Linked DNA regions of Oreochromis niloticus. The protein of the gene in region 2 purifies or fractionates together with the protein of the main gene of each other region. This does not show direct contact. Links are inferred from orthologs where the notes say so. Each region holds a gene or a part of one and is shown on either strand. Other genes may lie near its edges. The genes, in order: rad1 and fen1.

What was found.
Region 1: the proteins of fen1 (region 2) and rad1 purify together in Homo sapiens (affinity purification with western blotting; 3 studies listed by BioGRID). This does not show direct contact. The link is inferred for Oreochromis niloticus from reciprocal best matches to the Homo sapiens genes FEN1 and RAD1.

The regions. Positions count from the first base shown.
Region 1 is NC_031972.2:18,190,478-18,202,789, forward strand, and holds the start of rad1 (cell cycle checkpoint protein RAD1), read right to left. Parts: upstream 5,527-12,312; 5' UTR 5,000-5,526; intron 4,718-4,999; exon of another isoform or gene 4,506-4,717; intron 4,174-4,505; 5' UTR 4,130-4,173; coding exon 3,935-4,129; intron 3,822-3,934; coding exon 3,713-3,821; intron 3,623-3,712; coding exon 3,465-3,622; intron 3,249-3,464; coding exon 3,148-3,248; intron 2,208-3,147; coding exon 2,109-2,207; intron 860-2,108; coding exon 682-859; 3' UTR 1-681. Other genes in the region: c21h18orf32 (UPF0729 protein C18orf32 homolog), read left to right, coding at 5,570-5,749, 5,970-6,035; dym (dymeclin), read left to right, coding at 8,447-8,586. UniProt on the Homo sapiens protein: Component of the 9-1-1 cell-cycle checkpoint response complex that plays a major role in DNA repair. The 9-1-1 complex is recruited to DNA lesion upon damage by the RAD17-replication factor C (RFC) clamp loader complex.
Region 2 is NC_031974.2:24,369,954-24,382,062, reverse strand, and holds fen1 (flap endonuclease 1), read right to left. Parts: upstream 5,268-12,109; 5' UTR 5,131-5,267; intron 4,695-5,130; 5' UTR 4,682-4,694; coding exon 4,600-4,681; intron 4,448-4,599; coding exon 4,345-4,447; intron 4,193-4,344; coding exon 4,090-4,192; intron 3,995-4,089; coding exon 3,931-3,994; intron 3,771-3,930; coding exon 3,661-3,770; intron 3,327-3,660; coding exon 3,190-3,326; intron 2,943-3,189; coding exon 2,876-2,942; intron 2,628-2,875; coding exon 2,496-2,627; intron 2,401-2,495; coding exon 2,249-2,400; intron 1,794-2,248; coding exon 1,679-1,793; intron 1,447-1,678; coding exon 1,369-1,446; 3' UTR 1,162-1,368; downstream 1-1,161. Other genes in the region: tm9sf1 (transmembrane 9 superfamily member 1), read left to right, coding at 6,979-7,185, 7,852-7,983, 11,130-11,252, 11,361-11,719. UniProt on the Homo sapiens protein: Structure-specific nuclease with 5'-flap endonuclease and 5'-3' exonuclease activities involved in DNA replication and repair.

The DNA.
Region 1 (12,312 bases), on a different chromosome or scaffold from region 2:
TGTTTATTGAGTTGGAGTAAAAGCTCTTTTCTATGTCACAGAAATAAAATACCAACTTGATCTCTGTATCCTGTGATGTATACTCCATAAAAGGCTTTTGGAATAGTTTCAGCATAGACTTGTAGGAAGTGTGTCCACAGCTTAAGAGAAATCACACCTATTCAAAGTAGGTAGAATAGGTGTTGTTTTAGATCACTGTCTAGTTGTTTTAGATCAGTGAGCTGGGTCTAATGTGTCCTGTTTTACAGGCTGCAACCATCTGGAGGCATATGTCAAAAGACGAGCTCTGATATGCAAATATAAAGAGAACTGCATTTAACAAGTAGACTCAAATTCAGGAGTAACATTCACAAATTGTGAGACTTATGACTGAAAACAGCTGAGTCTCCATAGGAATCAATACAGTACTTGAACACACATCGAACATGTATACTCCTGCAGCACACAGACCTACGATTATGACGTGTGGCGTAATCATAGAGAGCATAAGAACACCAGCAAATCACAAGCACAACATCTGTTTCTCTCAAATCTGGCAAATGATGAATCAGTTCATTTTCTGTTTTCACCACTGTGCCCATTACAAGTCCAGCATTTTCTCCATACCTGCCTCCTCTGGCAAACTGGACTCCGGTGTGTAGTTAAGGTACTTATTACAAGTCAGATTTGAATCCGGTGTTCTCAGTTCTCTTCTACCTCCTCATCGGGACAGCAGTAATATTCTACGAAGCAGATCTGTCCGTCGTCGTTCCTGACCAGGTACTGCAGAGAGAGGAAGCCCCGGTTGTCTGTCCTGACGGAGACTTTACAGGACAAAGCCAAGGCTTTGGTGGACGGCTTCAGGAGGGACATCTTGTATCTGTTTGCAGTCAGAATACAAGCAAAACATTACACGGGGATACACTGAAACTATGCCTAAACTATTTCTCTTGCAGAGATTTTTAACATGATACGATAGAAAGGCCAAGAAAACACTTAACACTGGATCCAGGAGTGCTGACTCATTAGTGTCGGCATATCCAGTTGCAGTTGTAAATGTCATTATTTTTCTGTGCTTTTTATTCAGTTACAAGTCAAATGTATCCAGTCAACAAGCTCTATTACATAAGTCATAACAAGTCTGCTTTTAAGGAGATGTAAAGGGGACGAAGGGTCACCGGGGAAATGATTAAAATCCTAAACACCTGCATGCAGGTGCTGCAACGTCCTGTGGCCAGTTAGACCTCTGGTTAGAAGCCATGCTGGCAATTACAGTTTGCACACAAGTATACAACACAAGGTCAAACCATGGGAGTCTACTTGAGTGAAGTATTTCCAATTCCAGGAATTTCTAGAGCACCTACAAGGTGAGTGTATACTTATCAGAGTTCACACTGGCACTCATTATTAGTGTGTGTACACAAGTGAGTGTCAATATTTTCAAAGCTTAGTTTGTTAATAATAAAAAATATTATCACTGCCCTTTGGTTATTATTAGTTTTCCAAAACATAAGCCATAAAATGCTCAGAATTACAATCAAATAAAACAAACTAGATTTGAAGAAAATAAAATACTAAACAGTTTAATATAAATATATTCCAGCATTTCTTATGTTTCATTAAAAATGACTTCCACCATTGCTGGAGGTCATTTACAGTCTAGTTTGTTGGCATTACCCAGCTGATGCTGGAGAATCTGATATACGTCAACTTTGTTGTCCAAGGGTATATTTGACACAGTGACTGAACAGATATACTAATTTTATAATTCTCAAAGGAAAGATGTGTATATCTTGTTATAACTTTTTAATTTTTGGACTTGGATAAAAACATTCATGTCAACATCTTCAAATTTTTCATTATTATCAGAGTTATCTGCCCGGCAGCCATCCGTGAACAGGCATGTAAAAGGGTCAAAACTGAAAATGAGAGTAATGTCAGTCACAGACAGTTGCGAGATAAAGATCACTGGTAGACGCCAGGAGATAAAGAGCACTTTAGTCATTCACTACTTTGTATGACATTTGGTTTTAGTCGCTGTGTTGGTGCTTCCTGTCCTACCAGTCCACCTATGGGTAGTTTGTGTTCTCTACAGTCTAAATAATCTGTGCATGTGTTCGTGTGCTGACCTGTTCGTTTGTGTCTCGGTGCACTTAAACAGCTCCATCATGTCCGAGTCTTTGGAGTAATCATAATGAGCATTTCCAGCATTCCCAAATGTTGACAACCTTAGAAAATCAACAAATCAAATAATAATAATATAAATGAAAGGTAAAAAGAGCAGCACTTTCAAAAATAATGCAGAGGGGACAAAGTTACACTGCAAACTACCTCAGCACACTGATAATGAATGACAGGAAAAAGATCTATTTTGTTACAACAAATCCTTGAAGAAAGTCACTGTTCCTACCTTTAGCTTAGCTATACATTATATTTAGTGTTAGCTTCAATCCGATAAATACAATCCAGCATAAAACATGCCTCACCTTTACCGTTAAGAAGACTTAGTTTCCAAGAAGTGGATTATGTCTAATCCCAAATACTTTCCCCAGTGGATAACTTCAATGACTTTTCTTTTAAGACCTTTACACACCAGACTCATAAAAGAATTCATTTAAATATTTTGTGCATTGAAAATATTTTTCGGACTTTTTTTCAATTTTCAGAACGCGAATAAAGAGATCTGCCAATCAGACCACTGCATTTGGCAACAAAAGTGTGCTTGTAGTTTAAAACACACACCGGTGCTGAAAACCGGTGATGCAGCAAAAGTAAATAATACAATTTTAATACAGACACACAATCAGTTCTACGAAATTACTTCTCTGTCCCCTCAGATGTGATCCTAACTCTGCCCACAAGAATTCAAACTACCCCAATGACATCCGGAAAGATGTATGTAAGTAAGCGGTCGTGATACAGCTTCAACTTCTGAATGAAACCACGAAATTCTCCTTGTTGCTCTGAAACCAGAGTCTCTGTTTTTATCATTTCAGTGTTTACATATGTTATGTATTAAATTATGAATTTCGTCAGGTTTTTTTCCCAATGCTCTTGGTGTGTAAAGGCCTTTACAGTCATTTTAAACACAGTTATTTTTTTTAACTTTAGCAACGTAATCATAAACCAGCACAATACTGTAGAAAAAGTACAGTAAGGACAGCACACCTGAAGTATGGTTGGCTGGGGGACATGGTAATCTGTAGCACTTCACTTGTCATGTCCAGTTCAGAGAAGGCTTCCTTCAAACTCTCTGACTGCAAGATCACCTACAAAAGAGCCAGGGATACATCAGTTGTTACCGAGTTGTGTTTCCTGTTTTCTAACACCTGCAGATACTGTTATCCCAATTGGATTTGTAAAGTAAGGAAACCAGAGAAACTGTGATTTCTGAACTGATTCATTTGTATTAGTTTATCGTTTCCCATCTGATTTTTTTGTATATTCAATATTCGAGTTTTAATAACAGAAAAAGTGAAATTAACCTTGTTCGTGACATTAGTGCTGCAGAACTCAAAGTCAATCGGTTCTTCTGGTTCTTGTGTGTTAATCTTGCACACGGTCACTACACCACCTTCCTCCAGGAACAACGTCAGAGGGTACCCATACCCCCTGTAGCACATCCGCAAGGCTGTTGATACACCTGCAACATCACAAAAAACAGATATAAAGCATGCCGAGTCACATCTCAGGTGGGGTTTTTTTTTTATTAGTTTATTTTTATAAATTTTACCTGGTGTTGTGGTTCCACCAAATATATTGAGGCAATCGAGGAGAACAGTGAGGTTGATCTGAAAAGCCACCAGATCTTCTCTTATGGTGAACTCTTGGAAGATCTCAGCCTGGGGGACATGAGTACAATTTCACTAAGGTATCAGTATTATAGGATTAAACACAACGTAAACATACCTGCTCATTTAAGTATGTTCACTAACAAAATACAAGAGAAGCACACCTGGATGAAGGCATTGGCCTGCAGACATTTCGAGTCCTCCACTGTGACCTTAAGGCCATTGGTTGTAGCTGTGAAGATGGCGTGATCTTTGAAGGTGATTGCTTTCAGGATGTTGGAGAGATTGCGAGCATTGTCCAAACTCGCCACTAAAACGTACTGTTCGTCATCACCCTGCGACTGAGTGGCGAGAGGCATTGTAGCGCTGAAAAAAAGGCGCACAGATACCCGCTGTGAGCTCCCTGTAAAGGTAAACACATCAAATTAGCCGCTCCAATCATACATCACATGCGCATGAAGTTGAAACTTTGTTGAATGGCGTATCATTTATATTCTAAATCGGACAGAATGTTAATACGCCAAAGTGATATGTGTCGACTCTACAACACACACACACCGAACTGTCACTTTGCTTTTACTGAAGTACTAAGCTTGTTTTTTTTTTTCTGTAGCTCGCTTGTAGTTTAAAGTGACGTAAAACAGAAATTAACGGTAATATAATTTACATCTGTACTATCTAGATCCTCCTATACATTAATGTATTTAAAATATTCCCCCCAAAAACTGTAACTACCTTCGTGTCTCTTATAAAGCTGTTATGCAGCAGTTCTTGTGATTGTTTTTGAAGAAAGGCGCCCGGTGGTGAACAACTTCCGCCTGTCGCTCTTCTTCTACGGAAGTTGGAGTTAAAGTACGTCTTACGTCAGCAACATTCCAGATATTTCGCCATAAAACATACTCTGCCCATCGGTAGTGCGTGACAACATCATTTTGTGATTGGCAGAGGTGAGAGTCTTTATTCTGTCTTCCTCGTGTAACAGTTCAAATCTTTTTATTTTTATGTTTGAACTTTGGTGACAGTTTTTCATAATCGTTATAGCTACCGGGGTGTGATAGGACGCTAGCTTTAGCTCACTGTTTGATTTGAGCTTAGAGAGCATGAAACCAATAGTGTGTCAACTGTCAAGTTAAAAATGATCGAAAAACAATTTACAGCACACAACAACGGAAATCATGAACAGAGTAATTTGTGTAGTCGTGTGAAAGAAAGCTTCCTTCTATCGTTACCTAAGGTAGCTCAGGTTAGCCTTGTAAACGTCAGTATGGCTGACAGGTCGCTCTGTGTGGAGGACCCAAGCTGCCAGAATAAATAAAACAAACAAAATAATAAACGTCTCAGTACAGTCATTTCTAACTTATATACACCAGAAGAGTTTAAAATAAACGTAGGCAGTAATTGTTGTAAATATGCCATAAATTTCTTTTTTAAATTTGTGTAACCTATTTATAAAGAAAGATTCCTTTACTTTTCAAATTGTGTACACATTTCTGTCATTTCAACCAATATATTTTTTTGCTTTATTTTCGTGTTTTAAAGTGTATGTTGGATTGTTGTTTGATTTGGGGGGGTTTTAGTCGTTTTTGTTTGTTTGTTTAATTGTTTGTTTGTTTTTGTTTTTTAACTATTGTATACATGTTAAGAAATTAATGAAATGTTATTAAATCACTCTACAGGAACCTTGTAGCAATATCTCAACAACCAACCATAAACTTACTATGTATTTTTTTTACAACTCACAATGTTTTTTTCTCTACTGCAGGTTTTTCCATTTTTACTGCCCTGTCTAAACCACAGCTATGGTGTGCATTCCCTGTATTGTGATTCCTGTCCTCTTGTGGGTCTACAAGAGGTTCCTGGAGCCTTATCTCTATCCTTTTATTTCACCCATTATTAATATATTCTGGAGCAAAAAGGCAGTGCAGGAGACCAGTACTAATGACCAAAAAGTTAGTGAAAAGAGTAATGGGACTTGCAAGGTAAGTAAATGGATAATTTTTGTGATGTTTTCATTAAGAAACTTAAAAATAATTATGGAAATATTTCCCAGCTCTGGTATATAGAGCGAATATATCTAAAAATGATAGTAAAACTAATAGGAGCCACTCAAAGGGTCTCTGTGTTGTGTCATTTTTAACGTAAAAATTTCATAGTTATTTGATTGCAAGTTTTAAAAAAATTTTCACTCATGTTTTTCAGCCTGAAAGCAACGGCGAGGCCACTGCTAATGGATCTACTATAGCAACGGATAAGAAGACAGACTGACACCTCAAAATATATTCAATGCTTCATAAACCATGTAAATATTTCATTCTTCTAGAGAAACTATAAATTAACTTATAAAGCATCTTGGAATTAATTGGATTTTATAACCTTCCAGTTGTTATTTGGAGCTTGTTTTTATTTTTGTCATCCATCTTGTTGATATATTTTCTGTTAATCATGAATTGATACATCTGTTTATTGTATTGAATGATATAGATTTTGTAAGTTAAACTTTAAGCATAAATAATGAATAAAATAAACAAGACCTCTTAAGTGCTTCCGTTGCTTTTTCTTCATTTTGAATAATGTGTTCTCTTCATATTTGAGTTGTTAAGAAAGCTGTTTTGTTCATATAACTTTGAAATAATTAAAATAAATATGAAAGAATGTTAGCAACTTGACACGAAAGTAAGTATAAACTAATAATTTAGACCTGACATTTGTGTTTACTGCCGGTAGTAACAGTGTTCAGCAACAGTGTTCCATGTTATTATACAGACATATTTATGTCATATTTATGACATAATATGTCTATGTCATATTTCTCCAGACATAGAAGCAACTGGAAAACATTTGTCTTCACACATTGCTCAAAAAGGAAAAATATAGTTAATAATATTTAATATCTTTAAAGTATTGGAATATACTCTACACTGATCAGCCACATCATTTAAGCCATTGACAAGTGAAGTGAATGCTATTATTGACTTGTTACTGTGTCTGCATATGTTCTGTTGTGTAACTTGGCTTCCCCTTATTCAAACACGTTCACCATGATGCTGACCGGGCTGTCAATTTTCCGAGATGCCTCAGGACACCCCATAATTTGAAATGTATATGCTTAAAATCCCCTAGCAATAGCCTAAAATAAAAGTTTTTTTAAACATATAAACAGCATGTATTGCACCAATTTTTTTTTCATCTTATCTTATTAATATATATTTTGCTGAAAGTGATTTCGTTTGCGAACAGCCGAAACAATGCTATAGTATGGGCATACACTAGTTATTAAAAAATGTAAAATAGAGAAGTTAAAAAAAATAGAGGGCAGCAGTTCTGATATTTAGCTTCCAACTGGACGAACACACGAAGAAGACGTAGTAACCGCCCATATGTCGTCATTACGCACAGGGTGGCTACGTGGAAAACATGGAGGAAAGGAGTATGTAGAGTAAACTTAACTGTCTGAATTACAAAACAATTTCAGACCTTTTCCTTTGTCATTCGCACTTAATAAATCAACTGGACTAAACTTCAGGTCACTTTAAAAAACAGTAGTCGCCCCTGAACGGTCCTGGGAGTCAGCAGAGCCGCGGACAGCTGAGAGAAGCGTTTATGACAGGTAAGCTGAACGGTCAGCTGGCTGCTCTCTGTATATGCGTTATTAACCACTGACTAAACCAAAGCACTCCTCAATGAGAAATTTATTAGCGCCTATTTCATTCTTATGTGGGACTTTGAGTTTATATTGTTTACTATGAAAACTGCTAAGCGGCAGGCTATTTCCTGCACTTGAAATCAGTATGGTCAAGCTAACGTCGTGCAAGTAGATTTTAAAACAATTCTTTAAACAGTGTCATTTAAAGTAAATATAATATAATGAATATAATGAATATGAAAACGGAATTTTAGCTCTTGCTGGAGAAAGATAAATTGTCCTTTATGGTTTAGCACTGCTATGCAAATATTGTAAATGCTATACTCCACTTCACTTATGCTGACTACACCTGTGTGTCTAAGGTGTGTCATTACAAAAAAACAAAAGTCATGTCCTGGTTCAGTGTGTGTCGTCCTGCTGTGATGCTGTGAACTTTGGCTTTCAAGGATGAGTTTGTGTTTGAGTTGGTGAGATCTGTTTTACAGTTTTTGTAATGCACGAACATGAAGAACCAGGAGTGTATGTAAACTGGCTCTTACTCTTGTGCTTAAGCTCTGAGAGCACTTTATACAGCATGTGTCATCACAACTTTACACACGGACACATATTCATACAAGCACATTTTATATGTCTAAGTGCTTTTAATCAAACATTTACACTCCAGTGAATGCAACTCTGGGTTCAGTGTCTTCCCCATGCAGCCTGCAGTAGCCAGGGATCGAACCTGTCCAATTGAACCACAGTCATCCCTGGCACCCCTGGTGCCCTTGTTTCTTAAAGCCCAAAGCGACAAGGATGGCCTCTGTCTATTCCTATTTAGATCTGAGTGTAGGAGATGTATAAATGTAAACAGAAGCTCATTCATTCTCACATTAACCTTAATGAATTTGCTAATTCTGTAGTTAATTTGAAGCTCAGTTGTTTATTGTCTGTGCCTCCAAAGATTAAAGCATTTTCTTTGTCCCAGGTTTGGCATATGCCTGGTGAAAAAGCAGTGAAGAGCAGCGAGTCTGGCTGAGCACAGTCAGCAAAGATGGGAGCCAACACCAGTCAGGTCAGTGACCTGTCCGATAATCCCAGCCTCAAGGCCCTGGTGGGCACAGAGTCCATATCGGAGAATGACCCTTTCTGGAACCAGCTCATCTCCTTCACCTTCATCAGTCCCACCAGCAGGTAAAAAGGAACACTGTTTTTATTGTGTGTGCCTTAGACACAGGCACACACACCTGAAATTCAATACGCCTGTCAGCCATCACATTAAAACTGCAAACAGTCATTGCAGTGTCCTACTTTGTCTCCAAGCATTTATGTTAGTTTAAAAAGACACTCACATTAACATTGTTGCAAACCAATCACACCCATCCATGGCAACCACAATCCCCGATGACATCCTACCCTACTAGCACATTAGTCCCATCAGACATATCTAGGATGTTCCATAGCAAGCCCAATAAACAATTGCCCCACCTCGCAACACAAAGGGGTGGGGGGAGGTGTCCACATAACTTTTACTTGGCATCACTCTACTAATTTCAACTACTTAATTAGTAATTTATTAAGTCAAATAATTGAGGCTATGACTTCTAAACACCACTTTACTGTACTTTTACGATAAATAACTTTTATACACAATGTGACACTTTAAATCACTCAGATGAAACCTTCACATATCAAAACCGGCAAAACAAGCAGTAAGTCAGGAAGGCAAACAGAGTGGAGGAAACATTCATATTGACATAAGTGAATTTTCCTGGGTTGCAGACCTGAGATGCACTGATGTTTTTAATAATGGTTTGTTCCCTCCACCACAAGGGAACAAAGCCTTCTAGTTAGAAAGTCCTTTTAAGATTTACACCCAGGATTTAAGATTAAACTGTAAGGTTTAATCTTAAATCCTGAGCAACCTGAGCACCTGAGCAACGATCTAACAGGGCTGCTGATCTGCTTGGCTGTGATCAGACCAGTTAACCGTTAACGTTTAGTTCCTTTGTAAACAGCACTGAAAACGAAAGGCACCTTGTTTGCGCTTTCAGGTGGACCATGACTGATTGACTGATGTTACATGTTAATCTACTGATGTTGTGATGTTTTTCATTCATAAAATAAATATAGCTACAGTATCTACCAAGTAACAGAAACAGAAGACACATGTAACATTTTACATTCATACTTAGTGTTTGTCTAAAATAAGACTGAGAAATAGTGTCCTCTGTATTAAGGCAAAAAGTTGAGGCCTGTCCAAGTATACAGCAATTTGCTGCTGTCAGTGGGTCGGTCATGAGTAATTATCACTTCAAGTCGTCCATTTGAACATTGAGATTTCTGGTTGACAAACTGGTGTTAGTTTCTTCCTGTGTGTATTTGCCCTTACACTCTAATTGCTGCTCAAAAAGATAAACACAAATAGCTAAAATATCAGGTTGCTGCTATATTGAACCAAACTACTGAATGGTAATCTATAATAACTAGTGCTCTTGGAGTGCTGTGTCGGCTACAGAAGGACACACAGAGATTTCTCAACAAATTCTGTTGTTTGACATTTTAAGAAACCTCATGTTCACCCTTTAATGATGAAAGTCATGTGACTTGAACCCATTGAGCACTTGCAGGTTCAGAAAGTGGAACATTGTTGCTTTTTCTAATGGTTTGGTTACATATGTAGCACTTTCATGCAGCGTTTTATGCGTGTCATTCTTCTCCAGTATTGCAACAGTGGGCTGGCTGTCCTTAATGGCTTTACTTCTGTTATTTGTTCAAAGGCTTATAGCCCTGTAGTTGTGTAAGGCACTTGGCCTTTAAACAAAAGGAATAAATCTTTAATTATTTGAGACGCAAACAGTCACATGGTGAGACGTGATCAAACAAGAGACTTTCAAATTGATAGTTTGTGGATACACATCTTTTTGCACAATTTCCTCTTGTTCTGAAAGTTGAATGATGGCCAGTGTCACTGTCTTTGTGCCATGATAAATAAGTAGTTGAAGCCAGCAGCTAGCTAAATTAACACCGAAACAGGAAATGGTGTAAAGTAAAATTAGGTGTAGGTCAGGATAAGTGTTTGCTGTTGTCATGGTTACATTTAAGGGTAATAGTATGGGGTATTTATTAATGTCAAAGATGGTCAAGTCTGGCACCACACTTAATCAGGTTCCCACCAACTCTAAAGCCGTTCATAGGAATGGTTGTCAATACAGCAGAAGAACAGACAGAGATTTCTTAAAGTATTAGGAAGATGAACCACTAATGGTTTATCTTACTAATAATCTGAGAAAACTCTGCCTCTTCTTCTGTTCTTCACCTGTGTTGACAACCGTTTATCTGAGTGAAAGGGAAGCGCCTGCACATTAAACTCAGCAGCTGCGCACGCAAAAAAGCCATCGTGCACACAAGAGTGTCTGCTTTGGACGTGCTGCTACAGTTTTACACTCTCGTGGGTAGCTCTCTGCTACTTACTGCACTTTCACTGTCTGAAGGCGGAGCCTAAAGGAGGACGGGGGTCCTAATGTGACTGCTCACTTTGATGGACACTTCAGTTTACTGGGTTAAACTAAGTTGCACTGTGGCAGCGACGGAACGATGTTTTAAACTTTATTTGTTTACAATTTGAAAAATAAAGTTGCCAAATTAATCATCAGCAGTCACTGTTTGCTGTGCAGCAGTGAAATTACAGACAACTGTCCCGGTAATGTTAAAGAAATATTTTAAACTAGAGAATTGTAAGGCAAGTTCTGAAGCCTCTGCACTGCTGTCCCATTAATCTGTTTTACAGTATTACAAGGCTTCTATGATTTAAAAAATAATATTCTGATGCAAAATAATTTTGCATCAGAATCTGGCAATTATAAGTTTGGCCAAAATACAAACATTTAAACCTGTCAACAAAAGGTTGTTCCGTCTGCAGCAAACAGATGTAACTGCGCATACGTGACTAGATGGGAGTGCTTCAAACATGCCCTAGAATTCTACAGTGTTTAAGTACGGAGGAGAAACGGCTCTTTAATATTGTTTTTGCTAGCCTCTTTATGGACTTTAAGATTTTAAACAAACAAATATATAAACTTATCAAACAAAACTTAGAATGATTTCTAGAACACTGTGACAACAGAAAAGCAGATGCGTGGTGTTTTGGCTGGAGACCAGAGTGATGAATCTACAACAGACATGTCTTGATGCATGCTCAATCATCCAGGTAAGGAAATCCCAAAAAGTTGATTCTGTTTATCTGGATGTAGCGTCTTTAGTGGGAGAAACGTTTGATCAGTGCTTTGATCAGTAGTTGTTGATCAATGGTCATGAGAATTTGCATACTAATGATCAAGGAACTCACCTCCCAGCCCATTGTGCATTCAGTGGTGCTAGTTTCAGGCATTATGCAAATGTACTGTTCATAAGGTTGGGGAAACCTGCAGTCAGCTGAGACTGAAGAAGTCACTTGGATGAGTGACGAAACGTTTCTCCCACAGAAAACGCTACATCCAGATGAAAAGAATCAACCTTTTGGGATACAACAGACATGACTAAAGTTAATCCTGTGGTTACCAGCACAGAGATAACCACAAAGCATAAAAAGTTAGACACCTTGCACTTAGCAGCTACAAGCATGCTGTGTAATATAGTTATAAGAGCCTTTAGATTTACACAGCATGATAGCAACAAACTGAACTGTTTGTTAGATGCTAGTTCAGACAAATGAACTACCTACCAACCAAACCCTGTCACATCTTACTCTCCTATCCACCCCACAGACTTTCTGTTCAAAGAACCTGAAATATTATCTGGATGAACTATTACAGTGGAGTCTGAACCCACACTGAGTGGAGCTCTGTAGCCACATGTGTACAGCTGGTAGCAACATAAACCCATTTTATATTTGTTCACATTTTATAAAATTAAGTTTAG
Region 2 (12,109 bases):
TGTCCTCTGATTCAAATGTAGCTTTGGGTCTGAGTTTGCCCCAGTTTCTGAGTGCCTATTGATGCTAAGGAAACTGTGCTCACTGACACCTTGACTTTCTTTGCAATTTCTCTGTAGGAAAGATCGACATTTTTAGGTGTTCCATTGTTATTTGCCTTTTTCTTGACATTTTTTTTTAGCAATTTTTACAATACCGTTCAACTGATGTTCACGAGGGAATGGTACTACCACAGTGTGTTCCAACACTGCTTTTATGCAGACGGGGGGGTCAGTAATCCATAAAAGTTGGAACACCTGTAGGAATTAATAGCACCAGCTTTCAAGGCTTGATCAACCTCCACTGCTTAAAATTGTTAACCCATTTTGTGTTCCCTGAAAAGGCCCTTTTTATAACTCTGAAATGTACATTATTTTTCAGTTTTGGCTAACCTTACATAACCTTTTCTTTTTCACCTCTGGCAGTCCACTTACCTTTGTACCATTTCAAGTTATTAATTGGACCTGAAACGCAATAAATAACTAGAAACATTGGGGTGTTCTAAAACTTTTGGCCAGTAGTGTTTTAATGCACTGGCAGTGTGTTTGGGATCACTGTCATGCTGAAAAATTAATTCTGCCAATTCTAACAAGATCCCTGACACCACTGGCTAAAATAGACCAAACCATAACAGGGCCTCCACCATGTTTTACAGATGTTTACAGATATGGACACTTACGGCTGGATTATGCTGAATACTGTAACCAAAAATTGGAAATTTTGTGTCATCACTCCATAAGACCTATTGCCATCTGTAATTTGGCAGACCTGATCCTTTTCTCCTGGAGTCCATATCTGATGAGGCGATGGATGAACCATGCTGAAATATGCCAGGTTTTCGCCTAATAGCTCTTTGTCTCATGGCCATAGAATAGCATTTTTTCACCTTGTTGTAAAGTTTAAGATTAGTTCTTTGCCATGTTGTCTGGTGGTCGGATATAAGGAGTAGACTGAAAGTGAGAGGACAAAAAAAAACAAAAAACAAGAGCAGCTAATGTCCAAAGCAAAACTTTGCAAGACATTAGGGAAGTCTGGAGAACTATTGGCTTGCTCATTGGTAGCAAAATATAAAGATAAGAGGGAAAGCTTTAGACTTTTGCACAGTACTGTAAAAGGGCAACAAATGAGGATCTCTACAAAAAAATCATTTTTTTATTTCCAACACTTGAAATAAAACTGTCCAACACTCATTAAAATACAGCTAGCTCAGGTTTCGTTAGGTGATACAACAGAAAGTTACAAAAAAGTAGCAGTAGCAGTTTCCTTTAGTCTTAACTCCAAACATCACTCATCACAATAACGTCTCAGATAAATTTATGGATACATTCAGTCTATTTGGCCTTCTTAAATTTGCCTGGTGTGGCTCCAGTTTTCTGCTTTTTCTTTGCTGATCCTTTTATCTCAGGTTCCTGACAAAGACAAAGAAAACAGTATAGAAAATGTCAGGACTAGGAAAAGAAATCAGTCTTTACACCAGCAGTTTCCTGTTTTTATAACAAGATCTAAATTAAATATGTCAGTCAAACACTTCTGCCTGCTTTTTATAGTTACAAGAGAACTAGAAAGAATTTTAGACAGAAAAAAAAAACCACACACACACACACACACACACACACAGTACCACAGTTTTCTGACATGTACCTTTCGCTTGGACGACAGAGATCCAGTGACAGTGAAGAAAGAGTCCAGACGTCCCTGCGTGCTGCCCTGTCTGCTCTTTACAATCTTCTTACAGCCGTTACGGATTCTGTCCTCACTGCACACACATACACAAATAAAATAATAAAAGCTTCACTTTATCCTATGAGTATGTTTGTTCACATATTTAACAGACAGAAAAAATGTGTAAACCTGCAAGACGAACACACTATAGATCAAATATCTTTTTATTTTTTAAAAGAGTGGAGGCATCAGGCAGGAGGAAAAGAGGAGAAGCAGAGAGGAGGTTCATAGATGTAGTGAAGGAGGACATGCAGAGGGTTTGTGTGACAGGAGGACACTAGGGATAGGATTAGATGGAGGCAGATGATCAACCATCGAACTCAAAAGATGCCAGAAACACTTCATGTACATAGACAACAGTGCCACCTATTGGTCAAACATTAAACAAAAAAGTGTGTGTAGTCAAAGTCAAAGCAACAACAGATCATCTCCGTCAAACTAAGTAAATAGGTAAAGCAGAAGATAAGAATGAGTCAATATTTAGTTCACCTGAACTGTTTCTCTTCACACATGAATTGGATCAGTCCTTCCTCATCCGGCTCGTTCCACTTCAGCTCCACTGTAGAACAATCCACCACTTCTGGCTTCAAAAACAAACCCCTGGCTTCTTTGTACAGCCAGTCTTCTGGAGCAGGGTGCTTCTGCATAAAGACAAGCATTGCGCACACACACAGAATCAGAACCGGCACCTCGCTCAGCTGACCTGCACTACAGATTACAGCAACCTTCAACTTACATTGGAATCAATGTTCTCTAGAATCTCTTCGATGCTACCGTGCTGTTTGATGAGGTCGATTGCTCTCTTTGGGCCGATCCCCTTGATAGTGCCGCAGTAGTCACAGCCCAACAGAATACACAGGTCAATGAACTGGGATGGAGTACAGAAAGGAGTAAATAGCAAGAAAGACTGAGATCAATGTTGTGTTTAAAGCTCCACAGCACAAACATCTGATAGCCAGGAGAGTACCACCACATTTCTTTGAACAAACAGCACAGCATGCTGACATGCACCAGGTGATAGCTGTGTCATCATGAGAGAAGTACGGGAAGTGCTTCAGATTTAAAGAGAAACTTATTTATCTAAAATTTGTTCAAGACAGGAAAAGAACACTTTACCTGTTCATTGGTCAGGCCGATGTCCTGCAGGATGCGACTGAAGTGGAACTCTTGAATAGGAAGTTTCCTGAAACAATAATAAACAGCTTGTAGTTGACTATTTATGTTGCATGGCGACTATCAAACTACCAAATCCTAAAACCTCATAACTTGGTTCAAATTTATGAATTGGAAGTGTGAACTTATTCATTTGAACCATCTCATATACACATATATTTATATGGCAAACATAAATCTGATGTAGAATTAAGGCAACAACTTTAGGTCATTTCCACTCTGCTAATATCTCTGTCAAAGGTGATGCCGGTTCATACTTTGCTTCACTGGCCGTGAGATGTCTGAGAAGGATGTTTGTCCCAAAGGTCAGCCCGTCCATATCCTCTGTTGCCGTGGCAAACACCTTCCCTGCTTTAACCAGAGCAGCACAGCTGGCCTCAGCTTCACATGGAGCCTTTAAGGAAATGAAAAAAATAAATTAAATTACATCTAACAGAATGGTACACACAATCTGTCTTAATGCAACTACCTCAAACTGCACTGCAGAATCCCAATTCATGTATATTTTTAAGCTTTAGGCATAATTTAATTACATTTCTGTCTTTCTGTGTGAATGACCCCAGCTGGACTGTATAACTGTAACTTGGTAAGGGTAAGAGGATAAGAAGCCTGTAACATTGTAGGAACACTAAAACACAAATCATTCATGGGAGGGATGTCTCCAAACTGTGTAATAACTGTGCAAATATTCTTGATGCCACAAGAATGTGTAGAAATAGAAATCTCACCTCAATGTAAGGCACTCCCATCAGGGTCAGGAGCTTCTTACACTCATCATTATGCTGCTTCGTGACTTTAACCAGACGCTTAGTGAACTTGTCAATGTTCTCTTGCTCCCCTGGTTTGAGAGAGAAAAACATCCAATTAGACTTTCATGCCCAAAGTAAAACATGTTCACAGACTTTCCTATAATACTTGTGATATAGTCTGAGTCCAAGTGTGGTTTAAAAACTAGCAACTTCCAACAACCCCCCCCCCCCCCCCAGAAAAGTCTTTACCAATTTCTTGGGCCTGGGCAAGCATCTTCTCAGCTTCGGCTCTCCTCTCCCCTCTTTTCTCAAGCTGGAAGATGAAGACACAAGCAGAATAAGAGAGAGCTGTCAGTACAAATGTTTCCATTTGCAGATGGGTGAGGGCCAGAGGAAATCCTTACTCACCTCTGCTGACTTGAGCTGTGGGGGCTTGCCGTCAAACACATACACAGGTTTGATTCCATGTTCCAACATGCGAATGGTGCGGTAGAACATTCCCATTAAGTGGCTTGAAGAAAGGAGTAAAGGCAAAAATCATTCCTGTGTGTTCAGACCTAAGTTACAAATCACTGAGGTTAAACAGAGGAACTACTGCATCTATGAAGGATCTACAATTAGGTCTTCTTATTCAATTTTAAATGTTTATTGTTGCAGCAGTACCTTGTTGTCTCTCCATCTTCATTCTGCAGAACGTTACCATCTTGTCGCACAGCGATCAGAAACTGGTAGATGCACATAGAGGCATCAATAGCAATTTTCCTGCCTACAGAAGGTGAAAAGAGGTGCTCATTCAACAATGACATAAAGAGTTAGCATTCCATCATGCATACTACATACTGTATGTTGCAACAAATTGAGGGTAGACTGAAACTCATGCATCACTGATGTATAAGGAGTGTAATCTGGAACAGTTACCAAAGTAGTTCTTTATGTCTTGCTCTTTAATGGCACCAGGGGCCTGGTCAGCAATTAGCTTGGCAAGTCCGTGTATTCCCATTGTGTCAGAAAATCTGAGAAAAAAAGAGAGAGAGAGTGAAGCTCTGTGGTTAACATGCTGTGTCATTTCCATCCCCACTGCATTTCACAAAGGCCCCTATCACTGGTACAGGTCGGGTCTGCAGAAGCTTGAGAAAACAAAGAGGTCACAGTACAAGTTGTTTACAAATATGAAGCTCTTTTTTTTTTTTAACGGAGGCTTGATGTCAATTAAAAGACGAGCTCCGCCTCATTTGTTATCTCTCAGCAATGTGTGTGCCAGGTTTGTGAATTTACAATGATCTTTAAATCGACGAGTTCATGTAAGCAAACTGCCGAGCAGAAATGTATCCTGGCTTTGATCTACTAGTGTGTACCAGCTGACTTTAATGAAAATGCCACAGGATGCAGCAATCTACTATCAAAGTTAGCTTGCAGGTTATATATTGTTAACATTTACAACGGACTCACCAATTTAGTAAAACACCTCAGCTCGTGCAGCCGCTCCACGTCCTAGCGCGCGAGGAACTGACTGTTTCGCGGGAAATCAAATAGCAGGCATTTTCTATCGATCTACCGAGCGCCTCACTTCCAGGTACTCCGAAAAACCGTGCATCGATAGTGCAAGGTTGATTAATCAGCCCTGAGTTCCGACACGGAAGACCCGCAAAGGCACTGATTGGTTATTTACTGTTGAAGGAAATCCGGTTTATAGGAAAAAGGGGGAAAAAATAACACCGTCGAAAGCCGCGAACTCCCACCTTTTAGTTCATAATTTCCAGAGGCGTTAAAGACCGTAAATACTCCACGTTTATTTTACATTGCTTGTGAGTTAAATTTGTCACCGGCTGGGATTAACCGGTAAGATTTCAGGTGTATTCTTGTTTCTCCGCCCACTCCGGAAAACTCAGCCGAGTCGTCGTTATTTTTATTTTCTAAGGTGACGTGGAGTCGGAGCTCTTCTTCTTCGTCCACACTGGCCCATGTGTGAATAAAAGTACTCAGTGTACCCGGATATGAACGTAGTGATATTACGTTGACACAAGATATCAAGAATTTCCAAGATGCTCGGCTGTAAGGCTGAATCTTCACACTGAGCTCCACTGTAGCGGAGAAGAGAGCAGCCTGCTGGGGCCTGGAGTCCAAAGAAGCCGGCGGACAGACAGATTTTGTTGGATCTGGAGCATCGGGACGGACGAACGGTAGATCCGATTGTGCTGATTTCGTTGTTGTAGTCTTTTTTAGCGAGCATGTGCTTATTTGGAGTAAAACAGCGTTGATGTGGATGAGTCGCTTGTTTTACTTAAATTAAGGAGGCCCCCTTTGATTATAATCATGCTGCTGTCCACAGAAACAGGACACAGCTTGTAGTGTAGCGACCTTGCTCTTACTGCTTACTGCAGTTGTTGTATATACTATTACTTATCTCACTGTGTGAGGCATTTCTGCGTGTTTGCTGCTATTATTCATTCAACTGATTTAACTCTTTTGGCTTGAGTCTTTCTGAATACTTCGTGGGCTTCGTATGTAGTCTTGTAATCAGTAAAAAGTTCAGATGTGCATAGAGCTGTGATGCTATTCTTTAGTTCGTCACAAGGGACGATCAAAAAGTGATCTGGCTTATATCAAAGGCATTGCAACCTTACCATTCAGACCAAATTTGCATTGCTGTGAAATTCAACACTAATGCCACATCAGCAATAATTCTAGGTCGCCCTTCTAAAGTTCTCCTTCTATCACTTGCATAAAAAAATGTGAGGATTGTGGTTTTTCTGGAAATGTAGTTGATAGGGAACACGTTTGTGTGCTTTGTAGAGTATGCAAATGAAAGGGGAGCCGTGGCATTGTATCATCATGCGTCACCATTCCAACGCAAACTTAATACATGTTCATATGCAAGTTAAGCATACCATGAACACTAATGTTTGTCTAATATGCTTTGAAATTGAAAGCAACTCTGAAACTCTGCACCTGGATGAAAACTGTCCCTCTGAGCAATGTTACTTATTTTCTGCTCTTATAAACTCCAACAGACAAACTGACGGTGCTTATTTGATCCCAAACCCTCTTTTGGGCTGATGAAACTGATGAAATGCATTGCAATTCACTGTGGTTACACAGCATCTGTGTTTGAGCCAGTTTCATCATTTTCTGCTGTGTTTGTTAACACAGCGCAGGAGTGACGTTGCATAAAATTATGCAGTTATACCTCTCCGTGTTAAGATAATTACGTGTCACATTAGAAGTGCACAAAAGTGAGAGACAGGCTAGCTTAAAATAAACCTGAACTGATAAGCTGTCGTGTTTTCAACAGGGGCCATGCATCGTGGAACAGGACGCACGTCAGGTGGCTGTCAGAGGATGATGGTGCTGCACTCTGTCTTGATCCTGTTCTCGTTCTTAGGCTGGGCCCTTGGCTACAAGCAGGGAGACAATGTGACTCTTTATGTCAACAAAGTGGGCCCTTATCATAACCCCCAGGAGACATATCACTATTACACATTGCCTGTTTGCAGGCCGGAGAAGGTCAGTATTAGTTCTGTGTCACTGCGTGGTGTTGGTCTGTTGTAACAAAACAGAAGAACTGGAGACATGTAGATGAGAGTGTAATGATAATATCTAAATCTCAGGACTTACGTCTCCAGTTCCTGTGAAAATATTTTTAAGAAAAGACTTTGCTATGTTATATTTTATCCCATATCTGTTTGTTTCTACTTGAGGGTGTAATATTGAGGTGAAGTGTTACTCCCAACCACAAAATCTGAAAATGCGTATTAATTCATGTTGAGTAAAGAAGTGTCTTTTTTATAGAAAGATCATGGCATTTTCTTGTAAAAATGTGATCAAAATGACATCCTGAAACATGAGAGTAATAAAAATGTTTTAATTTTGTGTAACTGATTTGCTGTTAAGAATTCACACATTTCACCAAAACACAAGCTTTTTCTTTAAGTTGATAGTTTATTTCATGGCTCGCAGGTTTAAGAGAAAAGCCATTATTGGAAGTTTGATTGTGTTGGTAGCAGTGGAGCCTGCATTTTCAAAGGCAGCAGTAACATTGTATTAACATTGTATCGATTTTTATTTAGCTAACAGTTTTGAAATAACTGCTCTCAGAATTATGATCACCTAATTTGGCACTTTTTAAAAAAAAACATCCTGTATATTAAATGCTAATACTTCTTTCATCAGGTGCATCATAAGTCTCTGAGCCTGGGAGAAGTGCTGGATGGTGACAGAATGGCAGAGTCTTTATATTACATCCGCTTCAGAGAGAACGTGGAGAAAAAAGCTCTCTGCCAGCTCACTCTTTCAGAAAAACAGGTATTTACAGGAGTAAATTTGTAATAGTTAACATGCCTAACATCAGAAAACTGGTTGGTAATAAACTGCAAACATTCAAAGCTTTGACCAGCACCACTGTGAGGATTTTCAGCCACGTAAAAATGAAACAAAAATGCTATTCTACTCCTCAACTTAAAAGCCAAATATCTACCCAACCAACTAATATCCAAAATATCAAATACAGGTCCTTCTCAAAAAATTTGCATATTGTGATAAAGTTCATTATTTTCTGTAATGTACTGATAAACATTAGACTTTCATATATTTTAGATTCATTACACACAACTGAAGTAGTCCAAGCCTTCCATTGTTTTAATATTGATGATTCTGGCATACAGCTCATGAAAACCCAAAATTCCTATCTCAAAAAATTAGCATATCATGAAAAGGTTCTCTAAACGAGCTATTAACCTAATCATCTGAATCAACGAATTAACTCTAAACACCTGCAAAAGATTCCTGAGGCTTGTAAAAACTCCCAGCCTGGTTCATTACTCAAAACCGGAATCATGGGTAAGACTGCCGACCTGACTGCTGTCCAGAACGCCATCATTGACACCCTCAAACAAGAGGGTAAGACACAGAAAGAAATTTCTGAACGAATAGGCTGTTCCCAGAGTGCTGTATCAAGGCACCTCAGTGGGAAGTCTGTGGGAAGGAAAAAGTGTGGCAGAAAACGCTGCACAACGAGAAGAGGTGACCGGACCCTGAGGAAGATTGTGGAGAAGGACCGATTCCAGACCTTGGGGGACCTGCGGAAGCAGTGAACTGAGTCTGGAGTAGAAACATCCAGAGCCACCGTGCACAGGCGTGTGCAGGATATGGGCTACAGGTGCCGCATTCCCCAGGTCAAGCCACTTTTGAACCAGAAACAGCGGCAGAAGCGCCTGACCTGGGCTACAGAGAAGCAGCACTGGACTGTTGCTCAGTGGTCCAAAGTACTTTTTTCGGATGAAAGCAACTTTTGCATGTCATTCGGAAATCAAGGTGCCAGAGTCTGGAGGAAGACTGGGGAGAGGGAAATGCCAAAATGCCTGAAGTCCAGAGTCAAGTACCCACAGTCAGTAATGGTCTGGGGTGCCATGTCAGCTGCTGGTGTTGGTCCACTGTGTTTTATCAAGGGCAGGGTCAATGCAGCTAGCTATCAGGAGATTTTGGAGCACTTCATGCTTCCATCTGCTGAAAAGCTTTATGGAGATGAAGATTTCATTTTTCAGCACGACCTGGCACCTGCTCACAGTGCCAAAACCACTGGTAAATGGTTTACTGACCATGGTATTACTGTGCTCAATTGCCCTGCCAACTCTCCTGACCTGAACCCCATAGAGAATCTGTGGGATATTGTGAAGAGAAAGTTGAGAGACCCAAGACCCAACACTCTGGATGAGCTTAAGGCCGCTATCGAAGCATCCTGGGCCTCCATAACAAATCAGCAGTACCACAGGCTGATTGCCTCCATGCCGCGCCGCATTGAAGCAGTCATTTCTGCAAAAGGATTCCGGACCAAGTATTGCGTCCATAACTGAACATAATTATTTGAAGGTTGACTTTTTTTGTATTAAAAACACTTTTCTTTTATTGGTCGGATGACATATGCTAATTTTTTGAGATAAGAATTTTGGGTTTTCATGAGCTGTATGCCAAAATAATCAATATTAAAACAATGAAAGGCTTGAACTACTTCAGTTGTGTGTAATGAATCTAAAATATATGGAAGTCTAATGTTTATCAGTACATTACAGAAAATAATGAACTTTATCACGATATGCTAATTTTTTGAGACGGACCTGTATATGGGTAAAGCTACTCACCAGCCACTTTGATGGGTGCACCTGTTCAACTACTTGTTAAAGCAAACATCTAATCAGCCAATCAAATGTCAGCAATTCATTGCATTTTGGTATATAGGCATGGTCAGGGTGACCTACTACAGTTCAAACCGAGAATCAGAATGCAGAAGAAAGGTGATTTATGTGACCTTGAATGTGTTGGTTGGTGCCAGGTGAGCTCCATCGAGTGCTTCAGAATTTGCTGATCTACTGGGATTTTCTCTCGAGTTTACCGTGAGATTGTCTGAAAAAGAAAATATCCAGTGAGCAGCAGGACTGGGTGAAAATGGCCTGTCGATATTCTGGCCAGAGGAGAATGGTCAGACTGCTTTGAGCTGATAGGAAGGCAACAAAAATTCAGATGGCTAATCAATACAACCAAGGTATGCAAAAGAGCATCTCTGAACACATAACATGACAGTAGATTGGATGGGCTACAGTACCTGTCAGAACAGCAGAGGCTACAGTTCACACAGGCTCACCAAAGATGGACAGTAGAAGACTGGAGAAATGTTTCCCGATCTGATGAGTCAGAACTGGCTGACCACCACCGTGTACCATCTTCTGCTTCAAGGAGGATAACAAACCATGTCACAAAGCTTAAATAAACTTAACCTGGTTTCTTGAACATGGCATTGACTGTGCTCAAAATCTCTGAGGAATGTTTCCTGGACCTTGTTTAATGGAAATCAAGGCAATTCTCAAAGTGGCCAGAAATTATGTGTAAACAGATTTCCTTTTTAGATCTGCTGGTCTGTAGCAGTGAAGTTATTTTTTCTTTTTCTGGATAAGATGATAAAACTAAAACTGTTGGGTTTTTTGCATTTCATGGAAGTCTTTCATCCTTTGTTACCTTGGATACATGTATCCATATCAGGATCTAATCCCTCTTGATATTTGCTGTTACACCTGTACTTTGTTGTATGCTGAACCATGGAGTCTGTAAAATAGCAGTTTCACATAATAAACATCTGTACAACTTTAGCACAGCTGTTTCATTATGTGAGGCCACAACCTTTTTCTAATAAAAAAAGAGGGTCAATACATTTTAATGAACATTTTAACAAATGTAAATGTGCCAGATTATAGCCCTAGGCTAATTTCCATCTGTAGACCCTCTGGCAGGTTGATGTTACACACAAGTTAATAGCAACATACAGAGACACTATTTCTAGAACATGTATACAGACAAGGACAAAAAACAGTGATCCCATCATATTAGAACAAACAATGACAACAACTACTGCTTAAAATATGTCATCTGTTAACTGTTGGTGCTTGTTTTTTCCTTGGTAGGTGGACGAGCTTCGTGAGGCCATTGAGGAGCTGTACTACTTTGAATTTGTCCTGGACGATATTCCAATTTGGGGTTTTGTAGGATACATAGAGGAGAGTGGTTTCCTGCCTCACAGCCACAAGGTAGAAATTATGGAAATGTTTTATTGATATGCTAAGCTCTTGATAAACCAAATGAAGCATCATTCCTCTTACTTCTAAACTCCTCCTGCCTCTTTTCTGTTCTATCAGGTGGGTTTGTGGACGCATCTGGATTTCAACATCGAGTACAACGGCGACTCTGTGATCTTTGCCAATGTCTCAGTAAAAGACGTTAAGCCTGTTCCCTTAGAGGAGGGGGCAGGTGCAGCAGTGGGGGGTGTCGGAGTAGGCGGAGGCAGCCTGACGGTGACCCATACCTACAGCGTGCACTGGTTTGAATCATCTCTGCCCTATTCCCGGAGAGCTGAGCGTCTCAGAGACTACTCGTTCTTCCCCAAAACACTGGAGATCCACTGGTTGTCCATCATTAACTCACTGGTGCTGGTGGTGCTGCTTCTTGGCTTCGTCATCATCATCCTCATGAGAGTCCTTAAGAATGACTTTGCTAGGTGAGCAAGCGACGCAAAGACAGTGAATAATGCATTGCTTGAATACAAAAGACAAAACAAAATGTCAGGTCTCTGTGTCCCTTTAATGTGGTTTAATAATGGGTTGGCTGAGAACAGAAGGCTGGAGGTGCAATTCCCGGCTGCTTCAGTCTGCCTGCCAAAGGACCCTTGGGCACAATACTGAAGGGGGCCAAAGTGGGCCAAGAAAGTATCTCCCACAGCATTACACCACCACTACCAGCCTGATTTGTTGATATAAGGCATGCTTTCACGTTGTTAACACCAAAATCAAAAGGCCAGACAGTTTTTCTAGTCTTCTCATATCCAACTTTGGTAAGTTGATGTAGGTTATAGCCCCAGTTTCCTGTTCTTGGCTGACAGGAGTAGCAC